2 linked regions of the Oryzias latipes genome follow. The protein of the gene in region 1 purifies or fractionates together with the protein of each later gene. This does not show direct contact. Links are inferred from orthologs where the notes say so. Each region holds a gene or a part of one and is shown on either strand. Other genes may lie near its edges.

The links.
Region 2: the proteins of rcc1 (region 1) and ranbp1 purify together in Homo sapiens (affinity purification with mass spectrometry; 3 studies listed by BioGRID and IntAct, counting the BioPlex papers as one, with this or other methods). This does not show direct contact. The link is inferred for Oryzias latipes from reciprocal best matches to the Homo sapiens genes RCC1 and RANBP1.

What each region holds. Positions count from the first base shown.
Region 1 is NC_019874.2:68,613-76,130, reverse strand, and holds the start of rcc1 (regulator of chromosome condensation), read left to right. Parts: upstream 1-3,025; 5' UTR 3,026-3,067; coding exon 3,068-3,132; intron 3,133-3,845; coding exon 3,846-3,928; intron 3,929-4,159; coding exon 4,160-4,347; intron 4,348-4,432; coding exon 4,433-4,612; intron 4,613-6,274; coding exon 6,275-6,371; intron 6,372-7,518. UniProt on the Homo sapiens protein: Guanine-nucleotide releasing factor that promotes the exchange of Ran-bound GDP by GTP, and thereby plays an important role in RAN-mediated functions in nuclear import and mitosis.
Region 2 is NC_019867.2:23,296,674-23,304,281, reverse strand, and holds the start of ranbp1 (ran-specific GTPase-activating protein), read left to right. Parts: upstream 1-2,754; 5' UTR 2,755-2,871; coding exon 2,872-2,886; intron 2,887-4,194; coding exon 4,195-4,328; intron 4,329-4,657; coding exon 4,658-4,815; intron 4,816-7,242; coding exon 7,243-7,371; intron 7,372-7,449; coding exon 7,450-7,518; intron 7,519-7,608. Other genes in the region: trmt2a (tRNA (uracil-5-)-methyltransferase homolog A), read right to left, coding at 1-47, 709-817, 893-1,513, 1,897-1,931. UniProt on the Homo sapiens protein: Plays a role in RAN-dependent nucleocytoplasmic transport. Alleviates the TNPO1-dependent inhibition of RAN GTPase activity and mediates the dissociation of RAN from proteins involved in transport into the nucleus.

The sequences.
Region 1 (7,518 bases):
AAGTCAATAATAGTATTAAATGATAACAATAAATCAATAATAAGTCAATAATAATAATAAAAAACAATATATAAATAAGTCAATAACAATAATAATGATGAATCAATAATAATAATAATAAATCAATAGTAAGTCAATAATATTATTAAATGATAACAATAAATCAATGATAGGTCAACAATAATAAATGATAATAATAAGTCATCAATAAGTCCAAAAGTCAAAACAGATTTTCCCCTTTAAAAAGAAACAAAAAACAAAAGAAAAACAATTGATTTAACCCACTGATTCATGTGAGTGATCAGTCTGTGTAACTAAGGCCGCATTTACACTGCATGGTTCAAGTGACCCAATTCCGATTTTTTTCCTCTCATGTGGCACAGATCGGATATGACCGGTGAACGTGCAAGCAGGACAAAAGCGCATGGATTCCGTTTTTCTCAGATCAGATTCAAGCCTCACTCATATGTGGAAATAAATCGGATACGAATCGGATACCTGCATTTGCGTGTGCCATGTAAGCAGACAAATCGGATATTCCCCAGTAAATGCGAGTCGTACGTCAGTGACATCAACTCAGGAGACCACCAACTGAGATCACATGACTTATTAAGGTGCTTTTGTGCACTGATGTTGATGTCAGCGTGTTACCTTTCAGCCTCAGGCTTCAATTCAATTCAATTCAATTTTACTTGTATAGCCCAAAATCACAACAACAGTCGTCTCGATGGGCTTCGAAGTAAAACATGAACTCAAAAGGATCATGAATACAAAGAGTTCAATAGGAAAATACTAAAATGAACTAACAAACTGACTAAGCTATACTGGCATCCCTGCCCTTAGACCCCCCTTCGCGGTAAGGAAAAACTCCCAAAAAAAACGGATTCCGGAAAAAACGAAGAAACCTCAGGGGTGCCCACATGAAGGAGGGATCCTCCCCCAGGACGGACAGGCAATTTACCAGAACTCTTAGAGAAGAATTAACTTATCTAAATCTACAACTACATATATAAAAGTCCAGCAGACGAGCTTCATCCAGCTGTGGTTGGGGGGACAGTCAACGGCACGAGTCGAGCCGTAGACAGGAACCACATGCAGGTGTAGGAGCAGGAGCAGAGACGAGGTACTCGGTCAGGTACAGAGCAGAGACGAGCCAGAGGCAGGATCCACAACCAGGTGTAGGAGCGGGAGCAAAGGCGAGGTAGACGGTCAGGAACTGGAGCACGGATGAGCCAAAGTCGGAAACCGCTGTTATTTGCGGTCGGGACGCAAACGGTAACTAATCAAGCGGGACACAATTGCTCTGGAACTGGCTAGAAGCCGTTTATTTATTTGCTTGTGTTGCGGAGTGTGGGCGTGTATGATGGCGACCGCGCGTGCTGTGTGTGTGGGTGTGTGTGTGTGTTAGGAGAGGAGAGGGGTGTGAGCGCAGAGCGGGAGAGTGTCGGAGAACCGTAATAAAAAGAAGGTGTCTCCCCCAAAAGATTGTTTTGGAGTCTTTCTTAACCCACTCTGTGCAGAATCCGCCTTCGGCCCTGGAGAAAATCTCCCGTGCGTTTCTGACCACGGTCGGAAAAGAGAAGTCATCGCGCAGGAAAGGTTCAACACTTGGATCAAACTGTTAGTACGGCACGTCTGCAAACACTTCCTCATTCAAAATTCAGAGAGAGCCGAGCAGCCCTCCTTTTTCCTCTCCCCTCTGAGCCCCCAAGGCAATGCCTCCTTCATCGCTGAGTTGCCTCCATGACAACCGCAGTCACAAAAGTCCAGAGGAGGTCCGCGGAAGGCGGAAATGCTGCTACGTAGTCCTCAGAACGTCTACGTTTGATAGTCTCAGCATTGTATAGTGTTAATGCAAAAATCGGATACGGGTCACTTTTAAAAGAGGATGTAAGCGGGTTGTCAAAAAAATCGGATATAGTCAGAAAATCGGATATGGGCCTGCAGACCTTTCCACAGCTATAGATGCTATGTTGTAGGGTTTCAAGCGAACAGTTTGGCCTCTTATCAAAATCTGTTTCCCCAAAATCTTTTGAACATATCCAGACTGTATTGCTAGTTGGTACCACAGTGATCCATCTGGGTTAGCTCTTTTTATCGCTAAGGCCCACTTTTTCCTTAAGTCTGAATCCATTGAAACCTGCAAGAAAAGTTCAGTCACTGAGTCAGAAATGTATAAATTTATATAACTATATTAGCCTAGTCCTAGTGTACTGTTTATAGGTTTAACTAAATAAAGTTTACATTTATGTCGACAGCAAATTATCCGTACATCATGCAGCATGTTGATAATAGCCCTGCAGCATCATGCATGTCAACATGTGTTCTATTAATGAAGCCCCTCCAGCAGTAAAAGAAAAAATTATAGTTCTTACCTGTGAAATGTTCTGCCTTCCTCCTTTGTGGACTCAGATTTTGGCAGTTGAAACCCGCACAATGAACTGGCATTTTGCAAAAAATGAGTTCACATGCATGAACTGCAGCAGTGACTTGACCTCACCAAGATGGCAGTGCTCTCCTCCCATGAGGAATCACCTGATGTCTCCTCTAGTGGTATAACTCATTGCCCACAACTGTCCCTAAGAGGCCCCAAAGAGACCCCCACTCGAGATTGGCGCTGAATGCCTGTCGAGTATCTAACCTAAAACTAACTTCACCGCAGTAATGAGTGCTAATGAGTGTTAACTGTACATTTGTAGCATTGTTAAAAAACAAAGGTTGGCTGCAATGCTTGGTTTGCTACTGTATCCATATTTGTTTTGGCGGAGATCGGTTATGCACGTTCTTACTACCTCATTGAAACAAAAATTTACTCTGTTTTTCATTTTTTTTAATGATCTTAACTTAAATGAAATTGTTTTATCGCCGCTCGCTTGTAGAAAAATAGTGTTAAAAACATCAGTAACAAATGACGTTTTATGGGTCCTGTCTCTTTAACAAAGTAGGCGTTCTTAAGGTTCAAACCAACTCATTGGTTCAAACAATCTGTGCGTCACCCCCCCCCCCCCCCCCACACACACACACATTGACGCTTTATGCTCATTGGTCACGTCGCGCACATGCACGCATGAAACCGGTAGCAGGCAGCGCACGTCGTTTACTGCTAAATCAACTAACTTCTACCGTTAACAGGTTAGTTATATGCTTCTAAAACTACTCTTAAAGAACCAAAAACAACCCTCCTCATGAGTTTTTAATTAAAAATATACCTATACTTTTTCGTTATTCATTTATTTTTGGGAGAGACGCTAACGTTTTAGCTAGCTAGCTAGAAAAGCAAGTGATTTTACAAACGTTTTTCTGAGTTGATTGTGTTTTTCGCCTTGTTGGTGTGTGTAATGTTAAAAAAACAGTGTTTCTGTGTTTTTCTTTTATGTTAAAGGAAGGACATAAATCAATGGAGCGTATTTGTTGACCCTCTCTCACTAAGTGTTAAGGACACATGGCCATGGCTAGCAGCGTTAGCGGTCATGATGCAGCTCAATTAAACCGCAGGCTCGGTGTAAACTCACCTATCCAAACCACCTTGGACTTAGATTTTCAATAGTTTGCAGGCGTGTTGACACTGGTGTGCTGGCGCTCGCGGGGAGCAGAGGAAGCCCAGCTGTTTCTGGGGTTAAGAACCAGCCTCTGGACCCCAAGGCAGCTGCTGTGAGAGAGCCAGCAGCTGCTAGTTCAACAAGCATAGGCCTTTATGTCTGCCTGATCCACGTTTCTCACTTTGATTTTAGTTGAAGGCTTGGAGCAAAGCTTGTTTTTTTTTTTTTTGTAAATATATGAACACTTAATATGTTTTTTATATATATATATATATATATATAAATAAATAAATTTCTATTTAATAGTGTCACAATGCCCAGCAAGAAGACTGCCCCAAAGAGGAAGTCTGCAGCTGTTGAAGGTGCTAATGAGCCCAAGAAAGTAAAAGGTAATATTTAAGTTTGCTGTGTATGTCCAATTACAAGGGGTTACTCATAAAAAAATATTTTTTGTGTTGTAAATAATTCACTTTCTGCCAAACTATTTATTGGAAGAGAAATCTAGATAGAAATATTCTTCAACTTTAAACTAGTTAGATAAAATTAATCCCCTGTAGCTACTGAATTCCATGTTTACATTAGATCAGCTTATTTTTGAAGTGTTATTTATTTATTTGCAGTTTCACATGGCAGTCACTGCAACGAGCCGGGCCAAGTTTTGGTCCTAGGCCAGGGTGATGTTGGCCAACTTGGTTTGGGTGAGGACATCATTCAGAGGAAGAAGCCAGCGCTCCTGTCCTTACCTGAGAAAGTATTTCAAGTGACAGCAGGAGGCATGCACACTGTGTGTCTCAGCGAAAGTAGACACGTACGTGAATGACGGCCCGGTTTGCTTTTTTTTCTCAAGTTAAAAAAAATGAATTAGTAGATTTATTCATTTATTTATTTTTAAGGTGTATACTTTTGGCTGTAATGATGAGGGGGCTCTTGGTCGAGACACAACAGAAGAGGGGTCTGAGATGGTTCCAGGAAAGGTGACTCTAGGTGAGAAGGTGGTCCAGGTGTCTGCAGGGGACAGCCACACAGCTGCTCTCACAGAGGATGGATCTGTTTACATCTGGGGCTCCTTCAGGGTTTGTAAACTCCTTCAGTCAATTTCTGGCACTCTGATATGGTTTTTCCTAAAATGTCCAAATACGTGGAATTCATTTTCACCATAATTAGCTGAGGTCTATTATCACTTGTTGACTTGATCTCTTTTTAAATTGGTTAAAGTTTATTTTATTTTATTTAATCTAATCCATACATTTCTCAGACTCTTAATGGGTTTTATTGTATGGCACATGTGTCAAACTCAAGGCCCGCGGGCCAAATGTGGCCCGCCATGTCATTTTGTGGCCCGCGAGAGCAGTTTTTAATTTCTTAAAATAGTTTTTAATTTCTTAAAATTAGGAGGAATCTGACTTGAAGTATTGGATTGGGCAACAATACATTAGTACGGAGCCCGTGTCCTGACATTAAAAAATTAAAATGTCTCGTTCCCACAAATTAATATCTTGGTCGCACGAAATAATATTCCGTTCCCACAAGATAATATTCCGTTCCCTCGAAATAATTAATTCGTGCGAACGCAATTATTATTCACGTCATAAGTCATTCATAAACACAGATATACTCTCCGTCCGGTCGCAAAAGGCACTTTCAGCGGTAAGTTCTGTGTCTCTGTGACCCACATTCGTTCAAGCAAGGAAAAAGAAAAACAAGAATGATCAATTTATAATCGTCTCAATGAATATAAGAAAAATATAAGATTTATGATACCTAGGCTTGCTGCTTTGCCATACGATTCACCGGACCTAGCTCCGTCGCAGAGCTCTTTTGCTTGTCATGCCGGCATTCGGGCAGCTGGCTGGCCGGTAGACAGACATCCAGCTGATATTGTAGTTTAGGGTCGAATATATAGGAATAATAATATTCAGGACTTGTCTTTTATTAACATACTCTTTAGCAGTTGCTTTACATTCGAAGGTTAGTAGGCAACACGCTAACTAACTAGCCGATCATTTATCCTGTTATTTACGTCATAGATTTTCAGCAGAAACCTTCACATTTCTGTCTGTGTGTGTCTTATTACATTGCATTTAAGACACGGAGGATGTTTATAGATCAAATTTATTAAAAGCCGCTTTCTGCCGCTACTTCCGTGTCTCTGTGAGCATTCAATAGGGGTAAAAATAAAAGCAAGGATGAGCAATCTATTATTGTCTCGATGAAAATCAGAAAAATATCCTAAGATTACGCTGGCTGTCAGAGTCATTTCGTTCGCACGAATTAATCATTTCGAGGGAACGAAATATTATCTTGTCGGAACGGAATATTATTTTGTGCGAGCAAGATATTGATCTGTGGGAACGAGACATATTTTAATTTTTTAATGTCAGGACACGGGCTCCGTACATTAGAACTTAAACACTGTCCATAAAACCTAACCTGAGAGGATCAGATTTAAAAGGATTTATGCTAGATTAAAAAGCAAACATGTTTTCTATGCAACTGTAATTGTCACTTTAAAAAGTTATAATAAAGAAATGAGTAATTTAACATTAAGGAGGAGTTGCGTTTATTTTTCATTACATTTAGTTACATGTATAAGTTATGTCTGGCCCTTTGAGGACAACCACTATGCTGATGTGGCCCTCAGTGAAAATGAGTTTGACACCCCTGTTGTATGGTATTGGCTTCTTTCTGCAGTTATTAATTTTTGTGAATTTTCAGCTGTGCTGTTTTTTTAATAGGATAATAATGGTGTAATTGGTCTTCTGGAGCCCATGAAAACATGCCCAGTCCCAGTGAAGATCCCCATCCCAGAACCTGCTGTAAAAATTGCCTCAGGTGAGTAAAACCTCCCGGGAATTTGCTTGAAGTTTTATTTAAAGATTCTAGGCTGATTATGGCCCACAGCGGTCAAGGACTCCAAGGACCATATTGTTTTTGCAACGACTGACAAAAACTATATGGTTTAAAAAACTCAAAGGAAAGGAATAAGCCCCAAAAGACATGACCAGTGTGTAGTAAAACACAAAATACAAAGACACAGTCGGTCCTAACCGCAAAAACTTGTAGATTGTTTCTGCAATACTTATGATTCCGCTTTCTATCTGCGCCTTTGAGCGAAAAATTTGACCCCACCACATACACAAAAAAACTCACCAAAATCTGCACACATTCAAAAAAAAAAAAACTTAGTTTCAGATACAAACGAAAACGCGTCCTAGGGATTTTTATCTATAGTCTCGTAACTTCTCGGCCATCAATGGCAAGCCACTGTGGAAAAATGTCAGAATTGGAGGTTGTAGATTTTGGATGGTTGTACGTGGCAAGTTGCAACTGTTGCGATCTTAGCTAGCTCGCACATTTCTTATTGGGGTGTCGTAAAAATTCAATATGCATTTCCCTGGCCCAAGCTGAATAAAACGATGCAACATTCTAGATGACAATGTTAAAATAGTGGGTGTGGTAAACAAAAAATGTCGCAAAAAATTGTGCTGAATCAGCTAAATAAATTTTCTTTCTAAATGGAAATCTACTTACGAAACCAATATACCTTTGTCTGGGATATCCAATGAAAGAAGTTATGAAATAGTTATGAAATACTTATGGAATGGCGACACACCTATGGTTTGTTGGCCATTTTGTGCCAAAATTGGAGATTTGGCGTAGTGGAGTTTTGTCAACATTTGACCTCGGGAAGAGGCCGCCACCTTTAATTAAAAGCAGTTATGGAAAAGATGTTGCAATTAGAAGTTGTACATTTTTAACGGTGTGCGAGTGGTGAGCTAGCTAAAGTGGCATTCTCTTATTACTCGCACATGTTTAAATGGAAAACTGTGAACATTTAATGCATGTATCCATGACTAGAACTGAACAAATTAATATAACATTGGATACAAACATATAAGTAATGTGGGTGTGGTACCAAAACAAAATGATTGCTATAAAGATAAAACTAACAGAAAAGCCGCCGTTTTGAAGAAAGTGG
Region 2 (7,608 bases), on another chromosome or scaffold:
TCTGCACCCACGGAGATTAGGAACTCACACTTGTTCCTGTATTCCGTCTACAGAAGTCAAGGGATTGATTTGTTAAAGAGCCACTCCAATCATCTTTTGATCTGTTCTAAAAGTGATGGTCTTTTAATTAGGATTTTGCTGCTTTTAACCAAATTCAAAAAACCTGTTGTTTTATAAGACAGTTTCTGCAGAGCGACAGTAGTTCATTAGAAATTCACTTCTGAGTTGTGGGTGGGAATGTTGGCATGGAGTAAGGTCACCCCATTACCATCAACCCTTTGTTTACACTCTCTCCTGCTGGCTTCCAGCCCCTTACGAACCGAAGCTAACGTTACCGGTGCAACAAAAATGACGAGTAATATTGGAGCCATCCAGCTGTAGTTTTGACCCAGATACCAGCTCAGACCACGAAACAAAGACGTACACGGATCTAGTCATGTCCAAATAGATGGATGCATCAGAATGGAGGTCCTGCCGTTGTAGCTTCTACGTCACATCGACAATCTTTTTTGTCTGCGCCTGATTCATAAAGATCTGAATAAAAAATTACTCGGAAATGTCATTTTAATCTGAATTTTCTTTATATATGTCCTCCATCATCCAAAAAAAGCAACAAGATAACGTTATAAACACCAGAAACAGGATTTTCATTGGAGTGGGTCTCTAGGCAGCACAGCGATCACCTTAATGATGGATAAAAATGGCTACCTGTGTGGGGGATGGTCGGATAGCCTCCAGAGGACAACACATTTTGTTATGTTTCACTTTTTGTGCAAACAGCCACGGCAGCATGGCTTTGTTGGTGCTCCCAATTTCTCTAAAACCACAAGGAATAAAAGATGTTGAACGTGAACAGAAGGTTTTGTTGATCAGTATGCTGTTCATCACTCACTTGGCTAACTTCTGCAGAACTCCCACCACCTCCTGCTCTTTCATCTTCAGCTGCTCTTCATAGGTAGAGTTCCACAGAGGAGTCACAACGTTGGCTATCTGAACACTGAGCGGCAGCTCCTCTTCATCGCCCTCTGCTCGTTTGGAGGCCGGCTGTCCAGCCCCGCCCTCTCCTACCTCCTGCTTCCTCTTCTTGAGGATGGGGTCTTCTTTAGGTTTGGCCAAGCGGACACTGAGCACCTGGCCCTTCCACTGCATGCCATGCACCAATTTGTGCGCCTTGTCCCGCTCCTCTTCGTTTTTAAAAGTGACAAAAGCAAAGGTGTGCTTGCCGATCAGCTTGATTTTATGCGGGTTAATGCTATGTTTGGCGAGAAACTTCTTCAGGTCGTTGAAACCTATGAACTTGGGGAGGTTGCGGATCTCCACTTTGTAGATCTCAGAGGTGAAGAGGTCTTCTTTGATGTAGCGGTACTTGTCAGGGTCAGAAGGTCCCTCTGGGTCACCTTCAGCTTTGACGTCAGGGCTGAGAGCATTACTACTGCAGTTCTGGAGATCTTCAGGCCTCTTCTCATTTGAAGATACATCAGCTGCTAAGCTGCCATCGTTATCTGCCATCATTCTGCAATAGAAAAAAAGTAGAAATCCGGTTGCCATAAAAAAAACTCAAATCTTTATTTGACTTTTCAACTAAAATCTTTATATTTAAAGGCAATTTGGTCTTCTAGACATATTTTCAATTAATTAAAAAAGTTATAAATTCGTACGTGTGTAATAGCTTAAGAATAATAGGTTGTTTTTTTGTTTTTTTTACCAACCAATACAGCATACTTTATTGCTAACGTACATAGTTCAGGGAAACACTAAAAAAAACAACCTCTGCAGACTCCTTTTATTTTAAAAATATGATTATATTTGTCCTCGTGCAAAGAAGAAACAAATAAACACCACATTTGTCACAGGTAACTCCGGAATTTACTGAAAATCCACGTTTTCAAGGCTTACCTGCAGGGCTTCCCGTGCGCACAATGCGTCGCCATGTGCTGACGTCACCGCGTACAACGTGAACTTTGAACTTTTTTTTTCTTTTTTTTAAAGTGGCAGGGTCTTTTTCCGATAAAACGTGTAGTTTAAAAACAATCTGTTCATAATTGATCATCCTTTTTATAATCTATTTATTAAGTCGTCGGACAACATTCTACATTCGTAAATGTAAATGTATCACCATATAATATATAATGTTATATATAATATACAATATAATATATAATATAATATACATAATTCCCTAAAGTTCTATATTTCCATTTCAAATCAAATCAAAAAGATTTCTTTCGAAAAAGATGTTTACTCCTTATTATATATTTTTTTCAATTAAAGAACGGCCAGATGTTTTAGATAAATCTTAAATATTTTCGTGTATTTGCCTTACAGGCCTGCCTTGTTTGTGAAACTATTCATGATTTAATATCATTTTGGTTTACCATGTCATAATGAAGAACACTATAGTTGAGGATGGACATTCTTGTCAAATTCCTCTCAAAATCTGCTGGTCCCCCCTTTGTAAATTGTTTAAAACCAATGTGACTAAAGTCATATAATCCTCAATTTCTGTGCTTTGTAGACTTAAAAAAATAAAATAAGTGAATGTTTAAAAGGGTATTTAGTTTTTAAAGGTTTTCCAATGTTTTAATCAATGCATGTTTCAAATACACACAGATAAATCAAAAGTTGCCCACAGACACATTTTAAAAATCAAGAATTTTGCACACACAAATAGGGTGAGACTTATTTCTCTCCATATACTCATTCTTCAACAGGAGCGGTGCGCGCGCCGTAACGATGGATCCACGAGCATGCGCAGAGAATTCAGCGCGCGAAAGCGCTAACAGGAAGTGAGGGTAGCAAAGGGAAACGGCGGCTAGTTTGGGATTTGAATCTCTCAAACTTTTTCCACAATCTGCAAACATCTAAATTAATATGGCAGACACGAAGGTGAGGTATCAATTTAGAGGTTGTTTAGAGTTTTCTCTCTGCTATAAAACCCAAATTTTGGGCGGAATCCTTTTAAATTGTCATTTTAATTCTTAAAATATAGAAGCTGACAATTTATGTTGTTTCCTGATGTTTCGAAATCTATTTGAAGCGTTTTTATCATCATTCTGTAAAGAAGACCATTACCAGTTTACTGTACTTAACTGGTAAATGTATTTTAATTATTTCAGTGATTACAGAGGTAGCTATAGTTTATGAGCTGAGAGTGGTGTTCATGCGGGCAGCGTGTGAACATTAGCTTTTGCAACGCGCTCTAGCAAGAAAAGGCGACGGTATAGCAACTTTTTCACAGCTTTTCTATATGTTTATCATTCACAGCAACATTAAATGAAACCTAAATAATTAAGCGACTCAAGACAACAAGGTTAATCAGCTAACTTGTCTTTGTCTGCACAGCTCAACCCATGCTAACCTTAGTTTGGCTAACGGGTCCTCTCCGTTAGCTTGAAATTAATGTCCAATTATTTTGAGGCCAATTTTTTTGCAGGCGGCAACGCTTTGTGTTAGAGAACGTCAATATTAATATCAGCCCGATTTCTTTTTTAACATCTTAAGGAATTTTTTGTCACCGTGTAGCTACAGTTAAGCAGTTATTTGGCTAGTTTGCTGGATTACGGCCTTTTGAACTGTGACCCCAACTTTTCAAAAACTAAATATCTGTTAATTGACACTTCAGAGGTTTGATGCAATTACGAAAAAAATAGAAGTATTTCGTTTGAATAACGTTTAAACAAATGAGCCGTGTATTTTACTTTTTCACTGCAGTTTTTGTTCCAGATTTTATGCTAACTCAAGGCAGCAACCTTTTTTTGGTGAATATTTATTTTCTCACCTAAAGAAAAGGTCCTTCAAATCCACAACCTTTATTTCCTAGGCAAGAACTATTAACCAAAGACGATCTCTTTCAAACCTTGGTGATATTATTAATTGGTCCTTCAAATTGTTTAATTTAAAAATGCTGTCTTTCCCCCTGTTGAATAAATTACAGTGATGTTTTTCATTGTTTCAAAAGCTAAATTAGTGGATCTGTGTACATTGACATTAAAGGTGCTTATCTCAGCAACGGTTACAAAGCTTTGTCTGGCCTCTCACTCTGCAACAGTTATCCTTAAACAATGAATCCTGGCACCCCCTTCAGTGAAGCTTTCATTGTCTGCTCATTGCACTCGTGTCACATTTTAATAAAATTTCTTCAAAATAGCCTTTTAAAATATCCTCTTTTTTTTGCCTTGTTCATACATGTTTTAGGACCAGGATGATCACGAAACCTCAACAGATAATGTTGACGACTCTAACCATGACCCCCACTTTGAGCCCATTGTGTCTCTTCCTGAGCAAGATGTGAAAACATTAGAAGAGGACGAGGAGGAGCTTTTCAAAATGTAAGCTACTTATGATCCCTTTGATATTTGGAGCTATGCAGGTTTTGCATTTTTCAACTTGTTCCTGGACCATGGACATTTAATTTAGGAAGTCACTGTTTGCATGTATTTAGGGCATGGTTAGGATTAAATATGTGCGGGCAATGTGCATTTTAGCCACACGTAACAGGAATTTCTTTCGGTTTTTGTGCTTATTTGCACGTAAATAATTAAGGTAAGTTTAAAAAAAAAATTTCCTCAGAAACGAGAAAGTGGCTAACAGTCTTTAGGTATGTGGCGTGTAAGTTTAGTTAACTTAATCTGTCACGTTTCTGCTCTTTTGCTTCCAGGCGGGCTAAACTATATCGTTTTGCCTCTGAGAATGATCCTCCAGAGTGGAAGGAGAGGGGGACAGGTGATGTAAAGCTTCTGAAACACAAAGAGAAAGGCACAATCCGCCTTTTAATGAGGAGAGACCGAACTTTAAAGATCTGTGCTAACCATAACAGTAAGTCAACCATCACCTTTTAAGCGTTCCAAATGAGACGATGATTAAAACATGTTCCTGAAATAGATGCACAATAGGAGCTGAGAACAACCTACCCTGGTTTTTTGTGTGTGCCCGTTTTCTTTTGATTATGTACTATTTGGACATGTACTATGTCGTCATCACGAGAAAACGTTTTTTTCCCTTGTGATAACAAAGTCATGAATGACACACAGTCCTTCCAGCCTGCACCTCTTGTGCATCATTTTGTAACCGTGTACACAGCCTGCCCCCCTCATCTGGTCACTGATGTAAATTGACAACAACCGTAGGATCACTGAACTGCAGCCGCCTGCGCAGCTGCAGCCGGGCCAACCTTCTCATCGAATGACAATAACTGATTTGGACATTGTTTGTGACTGAATCTCTGCCCGAGTTGGACCATGATTAAACTGATCAATTATAAATTGATCAGTTTTTCTGTTGTTTGACATTTTTCTAACTTTGTATTGCAGAAAATGAAAAAAGAAAATTTCAAAAATGTATCTTGTGATAACGACGTGTTGTGTTGTAAGGTTGTAAGGTTGTATCTAGGGTTGGGCGATGTCCCCTAATTTGGCCGTTGACGATGTTTGCTGTCAACCATCGGGATGGACGATGACATCGTCGGGGGGGTATTTTTACATTTTTCGTTCTTATATAACTGCTATTCGTTATTTTGCTTTTTTCATTTTATTTCCCAACTAATGGTTAATCCGCGATGATCCAGTATAAACTGAGGGAAGTGACTTTAACAGAAAAAGTAACAAGCAAAATAGAAAAGAAGTGGTCCGCTCCTGCACTTCACTAGTGAAGTGGACCGGCGGAGCGCGGACTTACAGCTTTGTGTTTGAGGGAAGGGGGGGGGGGGGGGGTACATGAGAGGGAGATTTAAGACTGCGATCCGTCCCGCAGCTCTAGGGGTATGAGCTACCGAACTCAGAACCGGGTCTAAACGTGTGTCTGAGCACAGTTCGGATCGTCAGCAGACACACAGCGGTTTGAGCTTCAAAGCAGAAATTTCGCTCAGTCCTTAGAAAACATTCAATCAATCACGTGGATTTGTGTTTCCAGTCGTGTCCCGACTAAATAAAGGCTGATGTTATTCTTACACGTTTACGTGCAGCGCCACCCAAAGCTAATGTTGTTAGCCCGTGTTAGCATACTGCTAATCCTGGCTACGTTCAGAAAAAGCACTGACCACACGGATTAAAATTCAAATGATGAGCGAACAGATGTTTCATAATAACCGTAACATTATTAAAAGCACGTTTAGAAGATCGTCTCGTATTTTACCGAGCTGACATGTCAATGTATATAGCTGCTCGGCGCTGTTATCGTTTTGTATTGAATTGTTACCTTCAATAAAGTTTGGAAAAAAAGCCGCTCGGCGGAAGTTGTATCCTCTTCCGGTTTTCAAACTGCGCATGTGCGAATACTGCGCATGTGCGAATGATTTATTCCGACCGAAATTGTGACCTTAGTGAACGTTTTTATATTCTGAAAACATTTTTCTGGGCCCATGTACACGGTTGGATTCTAATCCAACCATTGATCCCATCAAGATATTTTGTACATGTAACCGCGGCTTATGATGTCGACGCGCAACGTGGCGGGGGCGTGGCATCACGATGGTGGTCTCTCCATCGGGATGTCAGTCACCCATCACGATGGACGATGATATCGTCCATCGGCACAACCCTAGTTGTATCCTTTGCTTCTGTAATGCACGACTGATTCACAGATTTAATTTTATTTTTCTTTGGATTGAATCAGGACTGGTTGGTTAAGTTTTGACTAAACAAAATGAAAATAATTAGAAAGGATTCTGCAAACAGATTTATATTCAGATTGAACAGATTGCTGTTAATGTTTTTTGTGTATTTTTCTTTGTTGACAAGACTGACTTTGACAGCAGTTGTTCAGTCAAGGGTTCATGTTGCTTTCGAGCAGGGTTGTCCAATCCCAGTGCCTAAAGGCAACTATACCTGCTTATTCTGTCTACCTCTGCTTGTCATTGGTGGAATTCACCTGAACGTGATAATACGCTCCATGTGGGGCGGGGATATCTGAACCATGAGCAGGACATCCGCTCTTTAGAACTAAACGGGACGCCTCCCCTACTCCAGAGCCTTGTGCATGATTAGAGATGAAAACTTGGAACACATTTAAGTTTATTTTTTTGCCCATAGTATTCTGCTAAAGAGCTTTCAATGTTTTTATGTTGGGACAATGTTATAAATGTCACTATAAAAACTAGAGTACAGTGCTCATTTTAATCTATCAAATATATTTTCTACAGTAAAGGTTCAGCTTGGAGATATGTGTTGCATTTATAAATGGCAGATCATTAAATAAAGGAATTAGGCTTTTGCATTCAGTTATATCTGTTGTTCTCCTTCCTCTTAGTCGTACCAACGATGGAGCTGAAGCCCAATGCCGGCAGCGACCGAGCATGGGTGTGGAACACACTAGCAGATTACGCAGATGAATGCCCCAAACCAGAACTTCTGGCCATTCGCTTTTTGAATGCAGAAAGTAAGTGGTTTCACACTGAATTCATTCTGAAATGTAAATTTAAAAAACTAATCCTAATACATACATTTCTGTCTACAGACGCACAGAAGTTTAAGGTCAAGTTTGATGAATGCAAGGATGAAGTTCAAAAAAATCTGGAGAAATCAGGTATTAAATTAGATTTCTTGAAATAAATGGAGGTATTTTAATTTATAACTGCCTCCTGTTGGGAGCTTTAAAGGGGTTTTCAACCTGAAA